Linked DNA regions of Cricetulus griseus. The protein of the gene in region 3 interacts with the protein of the main gene of each other region in a pairwise test. Links are inferred from orthologs where the notes say so. Each region holds a gene or a part of one and is shown on either strand. Other genes may lie near its edges.

Region 1 (2,425 bases), on a different chromosome or scaffold from region 3:
AACAGACCAGAGCCTTACCCACTTAATGGCTCCCTGTCCAAGACCAGACATAAGCCAGTGCACTCCCTTGATAGTCATACATGACTAGGCCCAGGGAAGGTAGCCAAGGAAGGGGCTTCCCTCTTGTTGCCTTGCTGTGTGAATGAGATTAGAGCCTGCAGAGGCTGGAGGCAGCCTCTAGCATGACCAGTCCACAGGCTGGAAGCTGTCTCCCTTATAAGCTAGGGAACCGGAGGCTGGAGGCTGCACAGACTGGGTGATTCCAGTCACAGGTGCAGGGCATGACTGCCAGGAAGATGGGCCATCAGGTGGGGGTAAAGAAGTAGCTGGGCATGTCTGTCTTGGATGGAGGTGGGGTCCTCCTTTTGGGGTTTGGGAGGCTGAGAGTATTTCCCAGTTCTGCTGCCTCCATGATGTGTCCTGCTGCGAGATCCCCCAACTCTGGAATCTGTCCTTTATATAAAGACCCTGTGATTCCCACTACCACACCATGGCTCCCCCGATGTGGGCCAGGCTGGCTTGGGTCTTAGCAGAAGCCCTCGTTGGGTGCCCAGGAGGAGCAATGGGCAGGGGCCTGAGGAGGTTCTAAGGGCCTATCACAGTATCTATTCTGGTACTATTTGCTTATGGCCTCGTGGCTTCTGCATACCCAGTCCACATCCAGGGTCCTCAGTCTTCCACTCAGGGTCTCAAAGGCCACATTCATGGCTGCCAGCCACATCTGTAATCGGTCCAGGTGCAAAGGCAGCAGACCAGCTCCTCGTGGCTATTGGTTAGAGGCCATTTCCTGACTAGCTGTTGACCAGGAACCGTTCTTAGACTCCAGTGATGCCTGCAGGTCCCTGCCATGTGTCTCCTTACAGTGCAGCAGCTTGCTCTGTTAGCAGGGAGTATCGGACTTCTCAGATTTTGAGCTTGTATCTGTCTTGTGAGTTCATCTGATTAGGCCAGGCCTACCCAGGTATCTCTCTCCCTTGGGAGGGATTCAGTCAGGTAGCCGAGTAGGGTCCTGGGTCCATGGTATACGTAGAGGCCTCTGACAGTTGTGTTTTTCCCTAAATGTCAGTTGTCATTCATCTTGACAGTTTGCTGGCGGGCCTAGCCTTTGGTGGCTGAGCCATCTCTCTAGCCCAATCATTAAATTCACCTTAAAAATCACTTCAGCGAGCCGGGCAATGGTGGCACACTTTAATCCCAGCACTTGGGAGGCAGAGACAGGCAGATCTCCGTGAGTTTGAGGCCGGCCTGGTCTACAGAGCGAGTTCCAGGACAGCCAGGACTGTTTCAGAGAGAAACCCTGTCTGGAAAAACCAAAAAAAAGGAAAAAAAAGATCACTTTAGTGCTCTCTATGTCCCTTACCTAATTGGCGTCAGACCCCCCCACCTCTGCCACATGGCAGGCCAGAGACAGAAGGCATGCCCAACATTCATCAGGTTCCTCCACTCTAGGGGCAGACATCACATGGATGTACCCATCAGGCGTGGTATTTGGGAAGGGTGAAGCCACTCAGAGCTCTGCCCATCAGAAAGCCAGAGAAAGAAGCATGGAAGCAGGGTGACTGTAGGGTCACCGTGGTGCGTCAGCATTTCCTGTTCTACTCGACAGGTCTGGAGTAGGACTGACTGGCTCCAAGCAGACCATGTTCTACGCGGAGGTGACAGATGCCCAGCGAGGTGGGCCTGGTGGAGGCCTGGCTGAGGAGGGAGAGCTCATAGAGGTCATACATCTGAACTTGGATGATGCCCAGGCCTTTGCGGATAATCCGAATATCCCCAAGACTCTCGGTGTCATCTTTGCTATCTCTTGGTTCTTTAGCCAGGTGGCTCCCCACCTAAATCTCCAGTGAGACCCTGGGGCTACACAGCCCTGTCCCATCCACTCAGCCTCCTGACCCGCACACTCAATAAAGGTTTTATAGTTTTCAGTGTTGGCCACTGGCTTTGAGCACTGTGACCTGGGGTGAGGAACAGTGTCTTCAGGGGTAGCAAGGTCTCCATACAAACCCTTCTGTTCCTCCTCAGACTCTGTAAGTGGATGCACGGGAGGCAGATGGCTGTCTGGGATGCTGTCAGGTGGAGTAGACAGCTCAGGAGGGGCCCAGGTTAAATGTTCAGTCTTGGAACACTGCGCACAGCATGAGCTGTATATGCAGGAGTAGACACTGAGCGTACTGCCAATTCCAGACAGTGTGTACTCCCTGATCTGGGCAGATGCAGGGTCCCTGCCATGCCTGGGGTTGGGCTAGAACCACACTGCTACCACCCAGGAACTCAAGTGCCAGGGATACTTCGTATCTGGCTTCTCCAGTGCCCTCTCCATGACTCATGGGCCACAGTGGCGGTCGTCTCCCTTGGCCTGCAGGACACAAGCAATGTCTGAAGACTAGGCTATGATGAGCATCTAGGGCAGTCGTTTTTGGTGGGG
Region 2 (3,964 bases), on a different chromosome or scaffold from region 3:
AAATGACAGAGGCAGGAGTCTGTGCCCTAGTCCAACTAGAAGTGGCCAAGGGCTGCCTGCAAACTAGCCCAACAGCTGACAGCCCTTCTAATGGGCAGTCCTAAACAGTATAGTGTCCAATGGGGTGATCTCAAAAATCTATGAGATTGGCTCTGGTGGGTTGGGGGGAGGGGCGGGATATGTGATGAGTCTGGAACAGTGTGTTAGTAAAACAGGCTTTTATCAGACTGAAAACACAGAATTCGATAGGTGTGGTGGTCCACACCTTTAATTCCAGCATTTGAGAGTTAGTGGCAGGCAAATCTCTTGAGAGTCTGAGGGCCAGCCTAGTCTACATAGTGAATTCCACAGCAACCAGGGCTATCTAGTGAGACTGTCTCAAAAAACAAACTACCAATGTTACTACTAATAATAATATTAATACTAGTGTCTGCTCACTAGTTTCCTCAAGCTAAGCTGATCTCAAAACAAAGCCGAGGCCTCACAAAGAGCAAAGGATGAAGCAACAGGCCATGAGGACAGCACAGTAACACATCCAAGATAACTACATTTTTAGAATCAGGCAGGTCTGGACCTGGTTGCAAAGATTCAACTGAGAATTCTGAGTTTTCCATCTACTCTGAAGTAGAAACAGTCAGCGGAGATTGGGGAGACTGGAAACCCCAAACTCAGAGAGCCTAGGAAAAGGGCCTCCATAACCCACAACCACCATATCAGTGTTCACACTCTACACAACCCAATGAACATTGCCTAAGCAGGTCTCACTGTACCCAACACTGAATGTGCAGATAACGATAAGTCTCCTCCCAGAGCTCATGGGGAGTTAGGCAAGAGAAATGCACAGAGGACTAGAGCATAGGTCACAAGTGTCTGGAGTCATAAACAATTGAAGGAAGCTGAGTGTAGCACCACATACCTATAATGCCAGCACTTAGGCGGTAGAATCAGAGCATCTAGGTATGTGGTGGTGCACACCTTTAATCCCAGCACTCAAGGCCAGCGTGGTTCACATATCAAGTTCCTGGCAAGCTGCTAGTCAGCCTGAGTCTCCAAATAGGAAGAGGAAATTATCTTCTAGTGTCCTTAGGAAGCCAAGGGAAAACTGGAAATAGTAAAGACCTTTGAATCAAACCCTACAGGACAAACAACCCTATTTGAAGACATTCCCAAAATTCAATAGAGATCTCCCAAGGATTCTCTGGTAATTCTTTGAGTATAGCTAGAATCCAGTGTTTGGGGACTCTAACATGAGATGAAAGCTTGCAGATTTTAGTTTAATCAAATACGTAACTATAAAACAAAGGTCAGGGAGACATGTGCCACTAAACGTTAAACGATAGCTTAGATAAGGGGCTCTCCTAAGGTATAGATTGCATTTACCAATCTGTTAAGTCACTTCATGAAGGTATTTTGAAATTTCACTTTACGTTCCAGTTTTACAGCTGTGGCACCAAATTCCAAACACAAAGCCAAATCACTCATTTTACGTTCATACTCATATACCCTACACCCTCTTAAATCGAGTATAAAATCCTATGCAAACTAAAGGAGCAAAGAGCTACACCAGAACAGAAGAGCATAGAAACCCTGCCTGAAACAAGAGTGGTGTAGAACAGACTGAGCCAGAGGTTATCAGACCCGGACCCACCCACTCAGGCCGCCCTCACGCATGGCAGGAAGTTAGAAAAATCTCTAAGAACATCATCTTTGCAAAGCAGCTTTGTGCAGCATAACACTAGCAAATGGAAAAAAAAAAAAAAACTTCCTTTTATGCAGAAATGGATTCTGATAACCCTATCTAAGAAGCAGAAACCGAGACCAGGAAACTCCACCACAGGGCTGCAGAAATAATACAGTTAAGATAATTAACCTGCTACACTGAGAGTCCACTCATAGCACCACACCTGCCACTTAACAAGCCAAATGGGGACGCAACCTGACTGAGTAACTGTTAAACATCTGGACTCCACCTGAAGAACACCACTTCCAGGTGTCGTGTCCACCCGGCCCTGTCAACAGCAAGGCTTAACTTGATGGCTTCTTTGTAAAGATTGCACTCAAGTTCCCAAGCAGGAGGAGCTGAAAAGCTTGTTTGGAGTAAAATTTCAAAAACTCTTTGCAAACCAGTTCTCCAGTGGCTTTCCGGAGAATGAGAAGTGAAGAACTCGAGGCAGCCTCAGGGCTCACCATTTTCAATGGGCTGACTAGGAAGGAGGCAGGCATTAACAACCTGACAGACTCTCAACAGGGTAATGCCAGGCTCCTCGGTACACTCAGTTGCAGCCGGACAGGAAATCTTGGTGGGGTGGGGGGCTCTATTTGGGGGAGAGTTGGCACCTACCAATTCGACGTCTACAAGGCCTTTCAGGGGTTGGGAAGAGCAGCGTGTATTCGGATACAAGGCTCACCCTCTCCCTCTCCTGCTGCCGCCCCCCTCCCTTTCAGGCGTCAGGCGTCAGGCGCAGCACGAAGCCATCACGCCGCCACAAGCTGCCCACCTTCACGTGGTTCTCCACCGCCGTGTGGCTCGCCAGCTTCTTAGCCTCCTCGGCCTTGGACATCGTGGAGGGGGCTGGGCCGCCCGCGCTCGAGCCTCCCTTGTGGCCGTGGGTCTCAGACTGTGCACGCCCCGGCAGTTGCACATGGGAGCCCGAGAGGCCCCAGTTGTTCCCGCCCCCGCCCGAGGCCGCGCCCCCGGCCCGCCCGGGCAGTGGGGCCAGGACCCGCCCGTAGAGGGTGCTGAAGGGCCCGGGGCGCTGCATCCCGCCACCTCGCTCCAGCCTCTGCGGCCGCCCCGCCCCCCGCGCCTCCGGAAATCGGCTCGCTCGAGCAACCTAATCCGCGCGCATTGCTGAGCGCATGCTGCTGGGAAATGTAGTCCCGAGGAGTCAGCGGCCTCAAGCCTTGAGGCAATCTGGACTACAAGCCCCACAATGCGTGCGACCTAGCGAGCAAATCGCCCGCCTTGACTCCCGCCTTTCTGTCCGGAAGGTCAGGATAGCAGCTGTCTAGAAAACCAACAACTGTCTGCCCTGAGGTAAAGTGTTTACACCGTCAGGTGAACTCCGAGAACTTTTCTGGCTGTACACGCATTCAAAAAACAGTGCAAAAAAAAAAAAAAAAAAAAAAAAAAAAAGGAGAGACCTGTTGAAAACCTGACTTTGTTTTCCCCAGAAACTCAAGTTCTAACAACACAACTTTTTTGTGTAATTGCATTTTATTACTTAAGTTGTACTTTGTGTGCTTGAGTGCAGGCTTGTGTGGGTCATAGAGGACAACTTGCAGGAGTCCATTATCTGACAACTTGGGTAGTGGGAATTGAACACCTATGTCAGTACTTAACTGGCTGAGCCACCTCACCTCACAACAAGATTGGCTCCTTGGTGACATACACTTGAGACTCCCAGGCCTTCTGAAGTCTGCTAGACCTTCACAAACCCAAGACCACAAGTTCAGTCGGTAGCCTTGGATTATTGTTCTGCTGTTGGTATTGGATGGCATGGTGTGTAGACGGAGCCTGGGTGTTCACACAGGCCAGTGTGCCCTCTAGAGATCCCGCAGTTCTTGATGATGAGGAATTTTAAAACTCAAACCTTTGGGCCTCCTCTGCCTTTAGTTTGCTGCAATGTAAGGGTGAAGAATTCTTATCACCACCTTTTACAAGCTGGAAACTGGTGCTAAGCCTTACTGAACACTTGGAAGTTCTTAATCTCTTTCTACAGCCTCACTAGCCTGTACTCACTGTGTAGCCCAAACTGGCCTGGAACTTGGACATTCTGAGCTTGGATTACATGAGTATGTCATCAAATAGAGCTGGGAGCTCTTTTTGTTGGTTTTGGGGTTTTCCAGACAGGGTTTCTCTGTGTAGCTTTGGAGCCAGTCCTGGCACTCTGTAGACCAGACTGGCCTTGAACTTGCAGAGATCTGCCTGCCTCTGCTTTCAAAGTGCTGGGATTAAAGGCGT
Region 3 (3,500 bases):
GGACAGGACTGACCCCGCCTGGCCTCTGCTTCCTGGTGCAGGCCCCCTGCTCTCTGCAGAACACTGCAGTATCTTCAGTTCTGGTGAACTCTCACTGTGCAGGGTGCCTGCGCTTAGGAGCGGGCTTCACACGCCTTCACCTTGACGTTGAGTGCTTGGAAACATGCATGCATGTATGTATGTAGTGTGTGTATGTATGTCTCTCATGTCTGTCTGTCTCTAATTATGCAATTAACAAGGCTCTAAACCACACATGGAGCGTGCCTGTAGTTCACAAGTACTCAAAAGGTCACCACAAGTTTGTGGCCAGTTTGGTCCACACATCGAGTTCCAGGTCAGCCAAGGTCTACATTATGAGACATTTGTCTCAAAAAGGGAGGAAGGAAGGAAGAGAGGGAGGGAGGGAGGGAAGGAGGGGACGCAGTCTGCATAAAGATGCCATCATATAGTTTGTCAGCTACAACTAAGGGACTAAATTCTATATCAAATCTAATTTAAAACATTCTGTCAAGAGCTTGGCGGTGGTGGTGCACGCCTTTAAGCCCAACATTCCAGAGGCAGAGGCAGGCAGATCTCTGAATTCAAGGCCAGCCTGGTCTACCGAGAGAGTTCCAGCATAGTTAGGTCAGTTACACAGAGAAACCCTGTCTTGATAACCAAAACAACCAAACAAAAAAGTCCTGTGACATTTCTCTATTAATTGGGATTTCTGGAGGGTTATGGTGTACGTGAAAACGTGCATTTTATAGAGGAGACAAGCGGTTCTTAGAGAAGACAGAATACAAAGCTGCTTTTCTTGTTAGTGTTGAGTTTGGATCCCAATGGTTTCTCAGCTTCTGGAATCCTGGCACACTCTTTTACAGGTCATAGTCTTCAGTGGGTGTGGTCCTCTGTCTGGATGCGTGCACAGTACAGGTTGGCTAGCAGCTTGTTGACTGTGCCTTAGAGGAGAGTCACTGTTACCCAGCTCTCTGATGAGGTGGTTAAGGTCCTTTCCAATGATATGGATTAAACAATTATTTTATTTTAGCGAGGAGAACATTTGGAAGCTCTGTGAATACATCAAAACCCATGACCAGTATCCCTTGGAAGAGTGTTCCGCTGTCTTCATATCAAATGAGAAGAAGATGGTAAGTTGGTGAGTGATGGCGGTGACATCAGAAGCTCAGCGCAGTCTGGAAGCTATTCTGTTCTCAAATGTGCTTTGTAACAGCAGCCTTTCAAACAGCTTTCTTTTTCTTCATTAGATTTGGTTCAGGAGAATTTGGTCCCTTGCTTGTAGGTAATGAAGTATGTAATGGCATGTTTATGTAGAATGCACAAGCAACTTGCTTTTTGCAACAGAGTCTCATAGTGTAGACCTTGGCTGACCTGGAACCCATTGTGTAGACCACGCTGGGCACAAACTTGTGGGGACCCTCTGAGTACTGGGTTTATAGGCATGCTCTGTGTCTAGCTTGGGGCTTTTTTAATTGTATAATTAAGCCATATAACTCTGATTTGAAGTAAAGATTTGTGTCTGAAGTTTGAATAGAGCTGGAGTAAACTTTCAGGGAGCATTAGAAGTAGCCCTTTGGGATTTCCAAACACTTTTGTGGACGTTGCCTCATTCGGGGCTCTTAGAAGTTCTATGAAATAGGCAGGGTCTAAACGACTTTCTCTGTTTTACTTTATTGACTTTACTTTTGTTTTGGAGACGGGTCGCATGTATCTCAGCCCACTAGCTTCACAGTCATCACATAGCTGAGGCTGGGATTTCAGGCACGAGCCTCCGTGACCTGCTAACTTTCTCCACCTAATCCGTGAAGAAGATGAGATGCAGAGAGGGCTCATGAGTAACTGAGGACTGACCCCGCCTGGCCTCTGCTTCCTGGTGCAGGCCCCTTGCTCTCTGGAGAACACTGCAGTATCTTCAGTTCTTGTGAACTCTCACTGTGCAGGGTGCCTGCGCGTAGGGTTTAGATTTTATTCTTTCACCTTGATTGCTTAGAAACAGAAACGTTTTTGACTTCAGAATTTAACTTAATTTATCTATTTATCCTGAAATTGGGTCTCACTATGTATCCCTGACTGGCTTCAAACTCAGAGGACCACCTACCTCTGCTTTTGAGTGTTGGGATTAAAGGCATGTGCAACTATGCCTGGCTAATTTTTTAAAATGTTTACAGGTGCTTTGCCTACATACAGGTCTGTGTACCTTGTGTGCACTGTGCCTGCAGAGGCCAGAAGAAGGGCTTGGATCCCTTGGACCTGGAGTTAGAGATGTCTATTAGCTACCATGTGGGTGCTGGGAGCATTCTGTCTTCTCCAGGAGCAGCCAGTGTGTGAGTTGCCATGTGGGTGCTGGGAGCAATCCTAGGTCTTCTCCAGGAGCGGCCAGTGTGTGAGATCTGCTGTCCCATCTCCCCAGTCCACTAAGGAATAGTTTATTACTTACTAGTGTATTGGTGGTATAAAGAATCTAGACGGGTTTGAATGAGACTCACGAATGTCCTCTGTTTTGTAGGTACCTATTTGGAAACAGCAGGCAAGACCTGGGAATGGACCTGTGATCTGGGTAAGCTGGCCACCTAAGAGCCTCTGATGCAGTGTTCCTTGTGGCCTCTGAGTAACCAGTATGCTGTGGTGAAGCAGAGTTGAAAGGACTCTAGAGAAAGGCCATGACAGTCATTAGTAAAAGGATCTTTTGAGAATGGATGTTATTCTGTCTGTGGCAGAAGCTCTGTGGACATATAGTTGTCTAACTTTTGTTTTGGGATCTATAATGGTTTGTGTGTGAAAAGTCCTCTACGGGCTTCTGTGTCTGAATTCCTGGTCCCTAGCTGGTGAATCTATTCTGTGAGGTTGTGGAGCCTCTGAGACCCGAGGCCTGGCTGGTACAAGCGTGTCAGTGGGAATGGGCCTTGAAGGTTGTACCTACTTGTGGTTATAGCCTGTGTTCTCCCAGACTGTTGTCATGTGAGGAACAATTGTCTCGTATTCCTGCTGCCATGAACAGTCACTCCCATCATGCCTTCCTCATAGGATTGGTAGACTGTAGGATTGGTAGACTGTAGGATTGGTAGGCTGTAGTTGGTAGACTGTAGGATTGGTAGACTGTAGTTAATAGACTGTAGTTGGTAGACTGTAGTTGGTAGACTGTAGTTGGTAGACTGTAGGATTGGTAGACTGTAGTTTAGACTGTAGTTGGTAGGCTGTAGGGTTGGTAGATTGTAGTTGGTAGACTGTAGTTGGTAGGCTGTAGGATTGGTAGGCTGTAGGATTGGAGAATGTAGTTGGTAGACTGTAGGATTGGTAGACTGTAGTTTAGACTGTAGTTGGTAGGCTGTAGGGTTGGTAGGCTGTAGGATTAGTAGACTGTAGTTGGTAGGCTATAGGATTGGTAGACTGTAGTTGGTAGACTGTAGGGTTGGTAGACTTGTGGGCTATCTGTACACAGTGTGAAGCTGTATTGCTGTGATTGGTGTCATAAAAAGCTGATTAGCCAGTAGCTAGGCAGG
Region 4 (4,284 bases), on a different chromosome or scaffold from region 3:
TAGGAGGCATCTCAGACAAAAGAAGAGTCAGGAACTAAACCAGAAATCGTGACCTCCCAAAGTCTTATGTAACCCTAACTCAAGGCACACTACTACATTCTAGGGCTTAGGTATCATGATTTGAGGCACCAGGCATGTCTCAAAGAAGAATGTCCCTTTTCCTCCCACAAACTACTGTCTTAGAATACTGCCTGCAAAATTTTATATATAAACTATTTTCTGCCACACAGTACATCCCTAAGCAACAGACCCTTTTCATTTGGTCATTTTTTTACTCAAAATAAAATTTTTTAGTTATTTTGCTATGAAGGGTTTTTAATTTTAAATTTTAACTGATACAATAAAAATATTTTTAAAATCTACATATAAAGGGATATTATTTGGTGTCTCAATCCATATATACATAGTTTGATGTTTAAATCAAGTTAAACATTATGTTTCCTCAAACAGTCATTATAATCAAATTTTAACATTAGTTTCAGCCTAGCCTAATTAAAAGGAAACAGCTAACAGCAGTTTTATTAAGCATTCAAATGTCAAAGAAAATGCTTTAAATCATTTTGGTTGCTGTTGTTTTTTACTATCTTTAACAGAGTAGACAACTCTGAGGCAAACCATACACTTACCCATCCAAGACAATAGCTCTTTGTCTTGAATTTCCACTGGAGGGCTCAAAGCACTGACATTGTCCACAAGGCTTCTCATTCATGACCCCTGTACCTACATTACACACACTTCATTCTTACAGACAGGTTAGAAGTCACTGTGCTCTTCCCTCACCTTTATAGTTGTGTCCATGGCCATTCGGATTGTTGCATTTCCCAAACACTTTCAAGTTCTCTTCATCACTCAGAGATGGGCTGACGAAAGAAAGACAGAAGGTCACTGTGAGCCAGGAAGACATCCACATTCCTCTGTTAGCTTTGCTCTGGCTTTTGAGAACTCTACAACTTAACTTCACGTTAGATGATCAACCAAAGAGATCACTTGAATTTCACTATCTATCCACCTTTCCATCAAGAACCAATGCACACTCCCTAACGAACAAAGTACCACATAAAATTATCAAAAACTTTGATTTCAACTCACCTATTTCACAGCAAGAATCCAACAAATCCTCTCAGTCAGCCCTTGCTCTCTGCTTTCTCTCTCTCTTTTGGCAAGGTCTCCTGTATCCTAGGCTGGCCTCAAAGTCACCATGTAACTTAGCATGGCTTTGAACTTCTGATTCTCTTGCCTCTGCCTCACAAGTGCTGGGACCTGGTAACACATACTGACTTGTGCAGGGCAGGGGATGGAGCCCTGGGCTCACACTAGACAAGCACTCTACCCACTGAGTTACATACCACTTCCAATTTTCAATTCAAGGAACACTGAGTATTAGCTATGGGATAAGAGCAGAACAAAGCAGGGAGTAACGATGATAAACAGGAGAGATACTTGTCCCCCCAGCAGCTTAAAAACCGAATTTCTCCTGGAAAACAATGACCCCAGGCTCTTCTTTTAACAAGCTCACTCTTCTCTGTCTCAACTATTGCCTAGTGGAAACCTTACCAGTATGTTCAGGGACACTCAAATCAGGTGAAACTTCAAAATTATTTCCAATAGCTGTCATTCCAGACAGAAAACAATGTACTCAATGAATTTGTGTATCTATCCCAACTCAGCCAACTCCTTATCTTCTGCACCCTTACTAACCTCATGCTTAAGCTTCCCACTATAAAAATCGTTTTGAGGGGCTGGAGATGGCTTAGCAGTTAAGAGTGCTTACTGCTATCGAAGAGGACCAAGGTTCAGCTCCCAGTGCCCACATGACAGTTCGCAACTACCTATAACTCCAGTTCCAAGGAATCTGATGCCCTCTTTTGGCTTCCAGAGGCTCCTTCATGTAAGCTGTTCACATAACACACAAGCACACACAAACACAATTTTAAAAAAAATTAAATTCTTTAAGATCTTTCTTATCCCATTGACTTTCTCCTTCTGCTTACACTTACCAAGCACTACAGTTCACAAGGCTTTGCAGAAAATTATCTCACTGTACAAAACATGGCCACCATTTTAAACTCTACATACCGGGCAGTGACAAGTATTTGGTATTCCCTTCAATATACCCGTCTCCTAGCACGGAACAAAGCATTGTCCATTAAGGAGTGGAAGGGTGCTGTTAGAAATGACTGTTCTCTCTCACAGACAAGGAAATGGAGGTTCAGAGAGTAGACCTTCTAGTGAGCAGAGAAGCTCCCTTCAAAACGAAACTCAGGTGCGGAGTTGGGTATGTGGGATTCAATTCCCGACCGTGCTGTTTCGCTTTATTTTATTTTTTAAAAGGGTCGCGGGGAGCTACCATGTGTTGCACCCGATAGCAACATGCTCCTGTCACTGTGCCTTCAGGATGCTCTGGGTGAGTGGCAGGACTCTGAACTTGGGGCAGCCCCCAGGGGACCTCTCCAGAGTGGAGCCTGCGGGATCAGAGCTCTACCGCCCTCTCCCGGGTGAGGCCCAGTACTGCGGCTCCGTACCTTCACCATTTCCTCTTCCGCCCGCCCCAGATCGGCTCAAACCCACGCGTGTGGCCACGCCCCCGAGGACGTAGCGGGAAAAGCCCGGCACTTGCGGTGACACACGTGGTCACACCCCACCTGTGCAGCCGGTGGCTCGCACTGAAGGACACGAGGCGTGACAGTCGCGCACGGCGGCGAAAGCCACCCGCCACGCTCATGTCTTCAGGCCAGCTATCCGGGAGCGACCAGCGCTTCCGGCTTCCCCGGCCGAGGCCAACACCTCCCTCCGCGGCTGCGCAGTGCAAGCTCGGCCCTCCCCGCCGGAAGCGCTCCTCCGGGGTGGTTTCGGCGCTTGGTGCACGTCAGTCCGCATGGATGCAGTCTCTTGCACCTCCTGCTGTTCAGTCTTTGCTAGACAATCAGAAATACCCTGGAGCAGTGAGTGGATGGGAGCCAGAGGCCTGGATTTTTAAATTGCCCACGATCGTTGTGTCTTCCCCTTTCACTACATTTGTGATAGCTCTGGGTTAGAATTGGAAAAGGCCAGTGGCTGGGCACCCTTATCAGATGCGCTCCAGCCCAGTACCACGTTGAGAGTGTCCTTAAAGGAAACCCTAGCCAAGGATAACAGCGCATTGTCCTCCGAATTACTCTGGTGTCTGAGCCCGGAGGATTGATTTTAGGAGTTCCGGTCTACTCTAGGCAGCATAGTAAAACAGTAGCTCAAGTGGAAAATAAAGGAAAACGTTTGACACTACAATTGGCAGGTGAGAGAATGTCATGCAACGACCTTCTCAAACCAGACTCAGGCCTGAAAACAGAGTCACCCTTCAGAACCCTCCCTCAGCCTTAAGGAACAGCCAGTCCTGGTTTTAGATCGATGGTTTTCAGTGCTTAGAAATGAAAAGGGCATTAAGGTGTATCTTTGTCTCAGAAGATCAGCGTCTACTAAATGCTGTCAGAGAATCAGATGCAACATATATCTGTAATTCTCGCACTGGGGCTTGAGACAGGAGGATGGTGAGCTCAAAGTCTATCTCAAAAGAATAAAATCCTGTAACTAATCCAAATGGACACCTTTGGCAAGGCAGCCCCCACAGCCATCAACCATCCACTCATCAAATTAAAAACTTAAATTTAAAAAGTGTTTACCTAAGATCTAAATACCAAATGCCTTAAGTATCAGTCACCTGAACCTCAGAACAACAAAATGGTCCCTGTCCTCTGAAAGTTCAGTTTAATGGGGAGTCAAACAAGTAATATGACAAGGGAAAGGTTACTAATTATCTCAGAGGGTAAAAGAAAGCTTCTGAGAACAAATTGTTCTGAGCTGGGTTTTATGGAGTCCAACAGATCGGTAAATAATAAATTCCAGGAGGAAATAGTTTAAGCAAATGAAATGTGGAAGTGTGGCTTGCTTAAGGCATAATGACAAATTCTTGGCTACCTTGGCATGCAAGAAAGAAACTATACTGGAAATATTGACTGCAGACCAATTAGTTGAAGCATTATGAGTGTTCGTTTTCTTCTTCTTCTTCTACATATAGAGGAAAAGAGGCCCCACCTTTTTATTCCCCTCTAATTCCTCTCCAAGAGAAAGGAATTTCCAACTGCTTGAATAACATTTTCCTGTACAACTGAGTCCTGCTTGTTCAGATAGTGGTGGCTTACTCTCTGGAGCTATGCATACAGGAAAATGAAAGAAGAAAACTCAAAGCCCAAGCTCTCCACCTCACCAGTCCTGGCTGTCTTCCATTCTGTTGTGGCTGTGGAAAGCTAA
Region 5 (3,500 bases), on a different chromosome or scaffold from region 3:
TGGACAGGCAGACAGAATTACTTCATAGCACATATGTAGAGGTTAGAGGACAATGTTTGAGGGTTAGCTCTCCAATGTGAGTTCTGGAGGGTCAAACTCAGGTCTTAAGGTTTCTACAGAAAGAGCTTTCACCTGCTAAGTTATGGTTATGCCCAAGATTAAGTCTAACGAACACTTAACAGACACCTACATTGCAGAATGACATACAGGAAAACTATCTTTGCAGGTCTGAAAGCATGAAGAACATTTCTGGGCATGTTAATAGCGACTCTGGTGACAGGAAACTTAATATAAATGAGGTAAGGAACTTTTTTTTGACCTCCTGCAACATTTTAATTTTTTCTTTGAAATTCACAAATAATTACATTTTAAAATTCAGAAAACAATATTAATGAAAAAGGCTTCATTTACAGAGTACAAATAGAGCACTGGCAGAGACATTATATTTAAATTATCTTTTTACTGTATAGCCTAAGATTGCTTTTTCCTCTCTTAACCTGACTTACAGCAATTAACTTTTACTTTTTTGTGGAAGGGATAGGAGGAATGGGTCAGGTTGAAGAGGAAAAAAATACAGAAATCCAACAAAACATACAAACATGCTTGTGATAAAAGAGACAGGCTTACCATCAGCAAGAAGATTCCTAAAGTGGCCCTACACCCACCCCACCCTGTCCTGCTGCACACACCAGATGCTGCAAGGGAAAAAGAAAACCCTCTTATCTTTCCACATCCCCTTACCAGCAATACCCAGAACATAAAATTAATTAAAGAAATGGTGTGTGTGTGTGTGTGTGTGTGTGTGTGTGTGTGTGTGTGTGTGTGTGTGTTATCAGAGATGGGAAGTTGGCATTCATGCTTTAACAGCCCGTCATGGGAATTGTTAACTGAAGCAATTATAAAATAAAAAATATGTGATGCTAAAGACACCTTTATAAACCTGTCACTTTAATCTTTCTCTATGATTTGTTGGCTTAATTACTTGAGTATATAGTCACATAAAATTTCACTGAAATAGTTATGTCTTATTAGTTATTGGGCAAGAAGCAATTTATAAGTCTTCTTATTTATTCTTACACTCTAAGACTAAATGGCCATTCAATTTAATAAAATGTCTTTGATTTAGATTATACAAATAATTTTTACTTTGAAAAGAATGATATTGTGGGTTCTATTCCCATAAGAATACACGTAGCTTGGTTAATATTTCTCATGTTTAACTAAAACATGAGAAACTAAATATTGAAAACAGAAATATTGCCAATAGTCTCAATGATAACTAAGCCCATGCAAGCAAATAAAGTTTTCAGGAAAGCAAACAAACAAAAACAATAATGCTTAAGAACTTATTTCAAAATGATTTTAGAGTATCTTTTAGAAACAATCATTTCTGGTGTCTCTCTAATGGAATGTAAAGGGAAGAGACTTACTTTTCAGCTGGTTGAGTCTAGGTAAACAGTAATGAGTGACAGAAACCACCAGCAGCTTTTCTCATTCTTTGCATTCACACAGAAATTTGCCAATACTTGGGTTGAAAACTACTAATGAAACTAGTAAATTTGGCACACAGTCCAGCTTTTCACATAGAATTTTTCTAAAGTTCTTATAAATTAAAGCTGGTTTATATTTCTTCATTTACCACAGACATTTATAACATATGTAGATGTTAACTCATTCAACCTATAGAATATCAACAGAATATACATACACCATTTCCTGTGGTTAAAGTCTCAAATTCTCCTTTGATAACATACTCACTGACCTCTTCTAGGACTCTCATGATTGAAGAGAATGCCGTTCACCGCAAAGAGATTATAAGCCTCTCGAAAGTTCACTACAATCCAATAGGCATAAAGTTTGGCTGCTCCTGTTGGAATAATTTTTTAAAGACAAAGTTTACTATAAAGGACTGTGCTTTTCATTCACCTTAATCAGTAATAACTGACAAAATGTCATTTATAATGCATTAAAATGGCTAATATGAATCACAGGACAAAACAAACATTGTGTGTCAATTAATCATATGCATTAGAAATAAAATTCCTTAATTTGCAACATTCATAATTAATTCTTTTACCATCTCATTTATTCAACTATACTATACAATATATCAAGTTCATCTTTCTTAGCTCTCTCTGTCTCTCTTTCACTGTGTCCATCTCTGTCTCCCCAACTCCCTCAAATGTACACGCAGGTGCGTGCACGCACATACACTTTTAGATAATGATAAATAATTATCAATAGAGAATTTAAAATGGCTGAAAGACACTTAAGAAAGTGCTCAACATCCTTAGCTATCAGGGAAATGCAACTAAAACAACTCTGAGATACCATCTTACATGGGCCAGAGTGGCTAAAATAAAAAACATCAATGACAGTCTATGCTGGAGAGCATGTGGAGAAAGACGATCACTCCTCCATTGCTGGTGGGAGTGTCAACTTGTACAGTCACTTTGGAAATCAATATGGCGACTCCTCAAGAAAATGGGAATCAGTCTACCTCAATATTTAGCAATTCTACTCTTGGGCATATACCCAAAGAATGAACATTCATACAACAAGGACATATGTTCAACAAAGTATGTTGTTTGTAATAGAACCTAGAAGCAACCTAGATGCCCCTCAACCAAAGAATGGATAGAGAAAATGTGGTACATTTACATAATGGAGTACTACTCAGCAGGGGAAAAAAATGAAATCTTGAAATTCGAAGTCAAATGGATGGAACTGGAAGAAAATATCCTGAGTGAGGTAACCCAATCACAGAAAGACAAGCATGGTATGTACTCACGCATATACGGATATTAGATATAGAGAAAAGGACTACCAGCCTACATTCCACACCACCAGAGAAACTAGGAAACAAGGAGGATCCCAAGAGAAAAACACATGGTACCCCAAAGAAGGGGAGTGGGACAAGAACCCCTGAGCAAATTGGGAGCATGGGGGGAGAGAGGAGGGAGGTAGGAAGAAGAGAAGAGGAGGGGAGAAGAGAACAAGAGGGATCAGGAAGACTGAGACAGGGGAGGAATAGAAGAGGTCAAGAAAGGAGATACCTTGATAGAAGGAGCAAGTATAGGTTTAGAGAGAGGTCTGGCACTAGGGAAATGTTCAGAGATCCACAGGGATGACCCCAACTAAGAATCTAGGCAGTAGTGGAGAGGCTGCCTTTGATGCCCTTCCCCTATAATGAGACTGATGACTACCTGCTTGCCAACCTAGAGCCTTCATCCAGTAGCTGATCGAAGCAGAAGCAGGCACCCACAGCTAAACACTGAGCCATACTGCTGGAATCCAGTTGTAGAGAGGGAGGAGGGATGAGCAAAAGAGCCAAGACCATGCTGGAGAAACCCCTAGAAACTCCTGACCTGACCTAGTGAGAGCATGGAGACCCTAGTCATAAAGCTGGGGAAGCAGCATTGGACCAAATCAAGCCCTCTGAATGTGGGTGCTAGGTAGGAGGCCTGGGCAGGCTATGGGACCTCTAACAATGGACCTAG
Region 6 (4,136 bases), on a different chromosome or scaffold from region 3:
CCTATCCATTGAGGCAGGGACTCTCAACTGATCCTTGAGTTTGCCACCATGGCCAGTCTAGCTAGCCAGCTTCCTCCTGGGATCCCTCATCTTTGCCTTCAGGGGCTGGAATTACTGGTGGAATCACACAAGCTGCTTGTGCAATGCTTTTAACCTCTGAGCCAAAAAGTTTTTAAAAACTAAGGCAAAGGAAAAACAGAACAAAACAACTCAAGACCATTTGCCTGCATGTACAGGAAAATACTTTTTTTTCACATCTTGGTAATTAGAATGACCTCCTCGGACCACTGGCTAATCGTTCAAAGAACAATATACCCTAAGGAAGAAATTGACTATTAACAGCAGTTATTATGTAAAATTTCAAATAATATCTTAAAACATGGCACTCTATGGCTTCTGACATCCTATTATTATTATTATTTTAACTTTATAGCCAATGCTATGAAAAGCAGTCAGCTTTGCCACTTTCTCAATGTTTACTGTACCTGCATAATTAATACTGGCTTCAATCTGCAATTTCTTTGAAGTAATCTTTTAGTCACTTGGCATAGTTGATGGCTAATTCAATTAAGACTGAATGATGTAAATCTCCAATGTACTTAAAAGCTTCTATATATCATATGTCAAAGAGAACCAACTGGTACTGGCTATCAACCTATTTACATGTGTAGGCCTGTGTTCTAGAAAAAAACAAGACTGGCTTGACAAGTTCAGTGACTAAAGGCCCTCATGCTTTTCCAGATTAGGAAGGCCAAATTTTAAAATTATTTTGTTTTAAGTAAAAACATAAATAACATACATCCCTTCCTAAATCCCAATGGGTCATCTTCTGCTCTCCATATTTCATTTTACTTAGGAGAAACCAGCTCTTTCAACAACATTGAGAGCACTTATCAGTTACACAAACAGAAAATGCATGTTGCTATCCTCATGCATGGTGATGAAATCTGTGCCTTTCCACCTCACAGCTCATAACCACAAAACAAGCTGTAAGAGGGAAACTCATTGGAAGAGAAGATTATTCTCATGACTAAGGGATTAAAAATAGAAACTAGGTAAGAAAGGAGACAATCTAAATGATATATTCTACTTTACAGACAGGAAACCAAACTATTTCAGAGCAGCACTTCATTTAGGACTATTTTAATGAGCATCCATGTCATGTTTACGACAACCCTTACTAAATATAGTTGCTATGTATATGCTACATATCCATCTGTGTACATATAAAGGCAGTATGGTGATCTTGTCAAATAAGAGTCATTTTAATATTTTTCTATCAGCTAAAAGGAGAGGAAACAGCTTTAGAACATATGTTCTCTAGCTTAGTAGAAAGTACTAGGTATAGTTTCTTTTAATTATTAAATGTTAGTATTCTTCAGTTCAGACTTTATCATCTTTGTAAAATCTATGCACATACAATTATCTGAGATGTGCTTTCCCCAATCATCTGAGATTTCAAGATTTTAAGTAAATAAGATTTAAATTGGAAACTCACAGTCAAACCCAAAGTTCAAAACTTTTTAGAAGTTTAAAAAAAATTAAATAATACACAAAGAGCAACTCACTTAACTTTTAGACAATAAGCTTCAGTGGATTCAGAAGACATAGAGTTGAGGATTTATAAGGACCTCTATCCACGAGACTTCATGGAGTACCACACATAGACCAGCACAGGTGAAAGTTTACATCAATACTGGATATACCAAATCTCTCAATAACCACATAGACTTACTTTATGAAAACCAGCCAACTACAGAGTTGGTTAAGGAAAAGTTAATGATCAGAACTCATAGAACCCTTGCGGCACATACTTCTGAAGCACTGGCAGAGCTTATGCCAAGACTATTTTTGTATGAACAGCAAATTTTAAGAAAACAAAGTTGCAGAGCAAACCTCACTGTGGTTCAGTTTTCCAGAGTCTGTTTATTCAAAACTGCAGAGAAGTTGAAACCCCCCCATGCTATGTATACGTGTAGGACTTAAGAGTATTCTGGCCAATTAATAGAGTGGGACCAATGTACCTTGAACTTAAACTTTAAAAGGCTTCATTACTTCTGAGACTTTAAATAGGCTTACTTCTGTGTGGGGCAGTCATCTAACCACACATTACAAGTCCGCCAGCAACAGCCCACATTTTCCAAAGAATAACTTTCAAGGGTGGGGCAAGAGGCTGCTGCAACATCGGAAAAATATTTAGCACCACGCCCTCCACGGAGGCCTATACGCAGCTAAGGCTACTGTCAAATTAAGTCATTCTGGTCTGCTGTCACCGTTCTCCAAGTGACCCAAACAAGGCGACACAATAAAACGTGTACAAAAGTTTTGTACAGTGGCAGGGAAGGGGGGCCAGGGCACCTTAAAAGAGAAGGGAAGCATTGCAGACCAGGTACCTATTCTGAGGATGTCACTCAACTCTGTCCGCTGGAGTTTTCTTCCCCCGACCTGGCCAGGGTCACCCGCCTCGGTGATCTCTGCCTCCCCCCGGGGCTGAGCATTACTCAGCACCGATAAGGACAGGAGGGTGCAGCGGGAAGGTGGGAGGGGACCTCGGCCCGCCGCTCAGGTGACAGCCTTGGAGCCCCGGTGGCCGGGCTGCCGGGAAACTGTCGGGGTCCCCGGGTCGCGCCCCCGCTGCCGCTTACCTTGCCGTTCCTTGGACTGCCGTTCAAGAACAGCGTGACCCGCCGCATCGCGCCGCCCGCGCCGGGTCCTGAGGGAGCCGCCACCCTCACCCCCGGCCCGCCACCCGCCGCGCTCCGCGCCCGCGAGACCCCTCCCGCCTCCCACCCGGACTCTCCGCCCTTCGCCACCTTCCTGGTCGGCCCCACACTCCTCACGCACGTACTCTCAGTCCCACACCCCGGGGTTGGCCGATCCTCCTTCCCACCCCGCCCCTAGGCTCCTTAAGCCTGCGAGCGGCCCTTCCCCCAACCGCGCCAAGACCGACACTGAGCAAGGCCAATCAACGCTCGGAGCCGGCCAGCATTCAGCCAATAAGAGTTCCGCAGAGGGGTGGGCTCAGACAAACGCCAGTCGGCGGAGGGAGGAAAGAGAGGCTGAAGACTGGTTGACGGACAGGAATATCAGCGAATCAGAGCAAAACCTACTGGCAAAGGGTGGCTCTAAGCGTTACTGAGCAGGCGCACGCAGGAGTGTGGGGCAACTCATTTGCATAAAGAGTCGGAGTCTAAGGAAGAGGCCGGACGCTAAAGTCCCATATACCAGTCAGCGCCCTGCTCTGCTTTAACCCCTCCTACTATCCCACCCACCAAGGTAACGGCTGGTGTCGGGATTGGCTAATGGGTAGACTAGCCATCCTGCGGTTATGTCATGATTGGTCTAATGATTCATTTTCGAAGTTTGCAGCAGCCAATCCAAAGGTTAGGGGCGGGGTTATCAGTTAACTGATGTGTTGCTCCGCAGAACGCCTAGCTAGTCCCCAGGACACCATTTTGCCGCAGATGTGTCTCGCTAGGGGATCATTCAGGGCTGGCAGTAGTTCTCCCGGGATACACGAAGGTCTCCCTGCGGCGTCCGAGAGCGTGACGGTGAGGACTGGAGGGAGCGGGATGCTCTCTCTCACGTAGGCTGCGAATCGCAGAGATCCCTCCGCGGGGGCGTGGCCTCAGTTTGAATTTGCTGGCGGGTAGTGAGGCTAGTTCGCTTCTCCAGGACGTGGTGTGTCCAGGCGTGCGGCGGCCTGCAGGAGGCCCACCCGGGTCATTTCTTGAGCCTGTCTCTGGTGCTTTCTGAAGTGAATCCTGCGTGACGCTTGTCGTCGTCGTCTGTGGGAACCTGCGGGCCTCGGGCGGGAGAGGTACGTCTGTTATCCGACCGGGATCAAAGGATGAAAAGCCCCAACTTGTCAGTATTGTGTAGTCAATAGCACTTCTTCCACCAGAACGCCCCGAATTCTTTCCCAAGGTGTACCCCTAGTACGGATTTCGTTAGAGTTCCGTCGCATTTTTTTTTTACATGTAGTGGGATTATTTCTCACTTTTTATTCTTGTCTTTAACTCCCCCATCTCCAGATGGATGCAAGTTCACACGACAAGCAGCCCTCTGAAGCCAGGGAGTGTGTCGTTAATAATTCTGGTACGTTGGTGACTTGTTACCCTCGTTAGATGGAAGAT
Region 7 (3,500 bases), on a different chromosome or scaffold from region 3:
GCTAAAGCCCAAAGGATGCAGGGGTCGTAGAGGATGATCATGAGGACCTGCTGCAGCCTCTGCACAAATGCTCACCCCTCACTTCTGACTGGAGCCTGTCTGAAAGCTCCTGGGTTTCACACTAACCCATCTTCGTCCTGTCTTTGCCTCCATTCCCAATTACGTAGACCCCTACCATGCAACTTCAACCTGGGGCCAAGATCTCCAGAAAGCAGATCTCATCATGCCACAAGGCCAAGTGTGAGTGCCAGGAGAAGGAGGTGCACACGCCATCTGCCTCCTGAGCCTCTGCTGTGAGGCAGCCTGTGTCATCTCTACCTCCTGCCCACTTCCCTCAGCCCAGCAAACCCACAAGTCCCAGCCCTGCAGCCTGGCTCTCCTGTCTCTGATAGGCTTCCCAAGAGCTCCATATGTGGGCTGAGAAACGTTCCAGGGATTTGAATTCCCTCTGCTGGCTCCCAGAGACCTCAGTGGCCGGAGATGACAGAAACCATTCATTTGCCAACAGGACATTGTTATGAGTGTAAACCATATGCATATTGAGGCTTCAGCTCCTATTGCTTCCTATTTTTCTGTTTTATGCTTCTGTTTTCTTGCATCTGAACAAAGCAGCCTTCCAATTTCCTACTAGTTTAATGGGTCATAAAATAAAGATTTGATTATACAAATGGAAAATGGGCCTCCTAAGGAAAAACGGGCTTTAAAAACGCCAGAGCATTATTACCCGATTACTAGTGTTATAATGAAGAAATACTTTTAAAAGATCTTTGTTATTTGCCATGAATATTTCCAGCAAGTCTTGGAAACTCTGGCTGGAAAGCTGTGTATATGCTTTGTGAAAAAAAATGTGTTGATGGGGGGTGTGTGTGCGTGCAGGTGTGTGGGTATACAGATGTATGGGTGTGTAAGTATGCAGGTGTGTGGTGTGTAGATGTACAGGTATGTGTATGTGTGTGTGCAAGTATACCAATGTGTAGATGTGTGCACATGTATGCAGGTATGGATGCACAGGCATGCGGGTGTGCAGAAGCATACATGTGCAGGCGTGTGTACATAAAGGTGTGTGAGTGTACAGGTGTGTGGCTGTGCAGCTGCCTGTGCACAGGGATGTGGGTGTGCAGACACTTGGATATGTAGGTGTGATGGATGTGTGAGTGTACAGGTGTGTGGGCATGCAGACATGCAGGTACACAGGTATGCAGTCACATGGGGCCATGGGTGTATAGGCATACAGGGATATAGGGATAGGGGTAAGATGTAGGGGCGTGTGTGAGTCCAGGTGCCCAGGTGTATATTTGTGTGGGGATTTGATTCATGGCTGTGTAGGTACACAGATATTTAGGTGTTAGAGCATGTAGAGGCTAGAATGTGTGGGTACGCAGATGTGTGTGTGAGCAGGTGTGATGGTGTACAGGTGCGTTTGTGCACGGGCATGCAGGTTATGCTGCAATATAAACAAGAGAGACAGAGAGGAGAAAGATGGAGAGGGGACTTCTCTGCAGCTCTTCATGCTTTCCATGAGCTCAATGTATTACTTCTTTATCTATGACCCAAGCTCTTCAGACACAGGGCTATTAGAATCCATAGAGGTAGGGGTGGGGTGGAAGGATGGTTCTATATCTCTTGGCCTGGGAAACAGTTTTAATTAAGAGATGGCCTGGAAGGCCAGGAGTAGCACATACTTCTAGTTCCAGTACTCAGGAGGCAGAGGCAGGTGGATCTCTGAGTCCGAGGCCAGACTGGTCTCCATAGTGAGTTCCAGGTCAATCAGGGTTACACAGTGAGACTTTGTCTCAAGAAAAAAAAGAAGACTTGGAAGATCATGTTCCTCTTCTTGATTATGACAAGGGACAGCTTCAAATGAGGGTAAAGGAGTACAGTGGAGAGGAATGGAAACTGTGACAAATAGGACACATACCCCATCCATGGGTAGCAGCTACTCCACTCTAGCCTCTTGTTGTATAGGGGCTATGCAGGTATCAAGAGATACTAGGCTTCCAGGATCTAATGCAAAACGTGTGTGTGTGTGTGTGTGTGTGTGTGTGTGTGTGTGTGTGTGTGTGTGTGTCCCTCCCTCTCTTCTCTCTCCTCCCTCTCCCAATATGGAGAGAGAGAGAGAGAGAGAGAGGAGAGAGAGAGAGAGAGAGAGAGAGAGAGAGAGAGAAGGGGAGAGAGAGACCTCAAGTAGCTCAGACAAGTCATAAACCTGTTACACACTGAGGTTGACCTTGAACTCCTGACCTTTTTTTTTTTTTTTTTTTTTTTTTTTTTTTTTTTTCTGAGACCAGGTTTCTCTATAAAACAGCCTTGGGTGTCCTGGAACTCTCTCTGTAGACCAGACTGGTCTTGAACACACAGAGATCCACCTGTCTCTACCTCCTGAGTGCTGGATTCCTGACAGTCTTTCAACTCCCAAATGCTGGGATTAGGAGTACAAAGGGTATGAATATTTTTGGATATTGTTTCAAATCTTTAGAAACATTTTCCATGCTACACCACACATTTGTTGGCCACGTTTTTTCCCAGGGCTAAGCATGACCATCCATCCACTCCCCTGGGGTCCAGGGCTCAGAGTGGGCCCTGTAGCCAGCTCCAGGACTGCTTGGGCCTTGGTCTCACCTTTCCCGGATGAACTCGGACATCTCCTTCTGCATCTGCTTGCCTTTCAGTTGCTTCTGCAGCAGTAGTTCAAACCCAGCCACCGTACCATTGCCTTGTGGGTCCTTCTTATCTGCCTATAAAGAAACAAAAGACCAAGTCATCGGGAAGTGGGCTGCATCTCTAGATCCCTTCCAGATTAGACCAGGGAGCCTCTGAAGCTTACAGAATGGAGGGAGAGAGGGAGGGACACACACACACACACACACACACACACACACACACACACACACACACACACACACGTTTTGCATTAGATCCTGGAAGCCTAGTATCCTTGATACCTGCATAGGCCCTATGCAACAAGAGGCTAGAGTGGAGTAGCTGCTACCCATGGACATATGTCCTATTTGTCACAGTTTCCACTCCTCCCCACTCTCTCTCCACTTTACTCCTTTACCCTCATTTGAAGCTGTCCCTTGTCATAAACAAGAAGAGGAGCATGACCTTCCAGGTCTTCTTTGTCATGCTGTCTCAATATAACCCAAACTAGCCAAAGAAGGGCTAGAGTGGCTCCCCAGGATGAACAGTGGGCAGGATCACATGCTCTGCCCAGCTCCACAAGTTCCTCATCTCCTCTCTAGGACATGTCCTGGTCCCTAGAGCCCCAAGGAAGACTTCTGCACAAATGGCAGCCACTCATTATTTCTGCTGCTATCACCATTCATCCTGGTCCGCTCATTCACCTCTCACCCTCCATTCCCATCTGAATACACACAGAGCAGGTCCCACCCAATTTTCCTTTAAAACTCTTCAATACCCCCCCTACTACAGACAGCAAAGACACAACTTCCTTTAGACCTACAGAATCTTTCCATCTACTTACTGCCCATATGACACTC

What was found.
Region 1: the proteins of protein N-terminal glutamine amidohydrolase (region 3) and Nudt14 interact in binary tests that used the Homo sapiens proteins (3 or more experiments, as listed by UniProt). The two-hybrid records come from large-scale screens. The link is inferred for Cricetulus griseus from reciprocal best matches to the Homo sapiens genes NTAQ1 and NUDT14.
Region 2: the proteins of protein N-terminal glutamine amidohydrolase (region 3) and Rpia interact in binary tests that used the Homo sapiens proteins (3 or more experiments, as listed by UniProt). The two-hybrid records come from large-scale screens. The link is inferred for Cricetulus griseus from reciprocal best matches to the Homo sapiens genes NTAQ1 and RPIA.
Region 4: the proteins of protein N-terminal glutamine amidohydrolase (region 3) and Pts interact in binary tests that used the Homo sapiens proteins (3 or more experiments, as listed by UniProt). The two-hybrid records come from large-scale screens. The link is inferred for Cricetulus griseus from reciprocal best matches to the Homo sapiens genes NTAQ1 and PTS.
Region 5: the proteins of protein N-terminal glutamine amidohydrolase (region 3) and Gmds interact in binary tests that used the Homo sapiens proteins (3 or more experiments, as listed by UniProt). The two-hybrid records come from large-scale screens. The link is inferred for Cricetulus griseus from reciprocal best matches to the Homo sapiens genes NTAQ1 and GMDS.
Region 6: the proteins of protein N-terminal glutamine amidohydrolase (region 3) and Kctd9 interact in binary tests that used the Homo sapiens proteins (3 or more experiments, as listed by UniProt). The link is inferred for Cricetulus griseus from reciprocal best matches to the Homo sapiens genes NTAQ1 and KCTD9.
Region 7: the proteins of protein N-terminal glutamine amidohydrolase (region 3) and Gas7 interact in binary tests that used the Homo sapiens proteins (3 or more experiments, as listed by UniProt). The two-hybrid records come from large-scale screens. The link is inferred for Cricetulus griseus from reciprocal best matches to the Homo sapiens genes NTAQ1 and GAS7.

What each region holds. Positions count from the first base shown.
Region 1 is NC_048598.1:181,120,708-181,123,132, forward strand, and holds the end of Nudt14 (uridine diphosphate glucose pyrophosphatase NUDT14), read left to right. Parts: intron 1-1,606; coding exon 1,607-1,847; 3' UTR 1,848-1,925; downstream 1,926-2,425. UniProt on the Homo sapiens protein: Hydrolyzes UDP-glucose to glucose 1-phosphate and UMP and ADP-ribose to ribose 5-phosphate and AMP. The physiological substrate is probably UDP-glucose. Poor activity on other substrates such as ADP-glucose, CDP-glucose, GDP-glucose and GDP-mannose.
Region 2 is NC_048601.1:62,432,077-62,436,040, forward strand, and holds the start of Rpia (ribose-5-phosphate isomerase), read right to left. Parts: upstream 2,801-3,964; 5' UTR 2,763-2,800; coding exon 2,499-2,762; intron 1-2,498. UniProt on the Homo sapiens protein: Catalyzes the reversible conversion of ribose-5-phosphate to ribulose 5-phosphate and participates in the first step of the non-oxidative branch of the pentose phosphate pathway.
Region 3 is NC_048603.1:29,479,147-29,482,646, reverse strand, and holds part of protein N-terminal glutamine amidohydrolase, read left to right. Parts: intron 1-1,030; coding exon 1,031-1,130; intron 1,131-2,506; coding exon 2,507-2,557; intron 2,558-3,500. UniProt on the Homo sapiens protein: Mediates the side-chain deamidation of N-terminal glutamine residues to glutamate, an important step in N-end rule pathway of protein degradation.
Region 4 is NC_048597.1:162,282,810-162,287,093, forward strand, and holds the start of Pts (6-pyruvoyl tetrahydrobiopterin synthase), read right to left. Parts: upstream 2,801-4,284; 5' UTR 2,723-2,800; coding exon 2,643-2,722; exon of another isoform or gene 2,523-2,642; intron 2,437-2,522; exon of another isoform or gene 2,077-2,436; intron 1,801-2,076; exon of another isoform or gene 1,090-1,800; intron 861-1,089; coding exon 781-860; intron 1-780. UniProt on the Homo sapiens protein: Involved in the biosynthesis of tetrahydrobiopterin, an essential cofactor of aromatic amino acid hydroxylases. Catalyzes the transformation of 7,8-dihydroneopterin triphosphate into 6-pyruvoyl tetrahydropterin.
Region 5 is NC_048596.1:252,836,242-252,839,741, forward strand, and holds part of Gmds (GDP-mannose 4,6 dehydratase), read right to left. Parts: intron 1,868-3,500; coding exon 1,763-1,867; intron 1-1,762. UniProt on the Homo sapiens protein: Catalyzes the conversion of GDP-D-mannose to GDP-4-dehydro-6-deoxy-D-mannose.
Region 6 is NW_023276807.1:222,713,853-222,717,988, reverse strand, and holds the start of Kctd9 (BTB/POZ domain-containing protein KCTD9), read right to left. Parts: upstream 2,801-4,136; 5' UTR 2,694-2,800; coding exon 2,646-2,693; intron 1-2,645. Other genes in the region: Cdca2 (cell division cycle-associated protein 2), read left to right, coding at 3,465-3,551, 4,035-4,098. UniProt on the Homo sapiens protein: Substrate-specific adapter of a BCR (BTB-CUL3-RBX1) E3 ubiquitin-protein ligase complex, which mediates the ubiquitination of target proteins, leading to their degradation by the proteasome.
Region 7 is NC_048600.1:81,542,711-81,546,210, reverse strand, and holds part of Gas7 (growth arrest-specific protein 7), read right to left. Parts: intron 2,736-3,500; coding exon 2,620-2,735; intron 1-2,619. UniProt on the Homo sapiens protein: May play a role in promoting maturation and morphological differentiation of cerebellar neurons.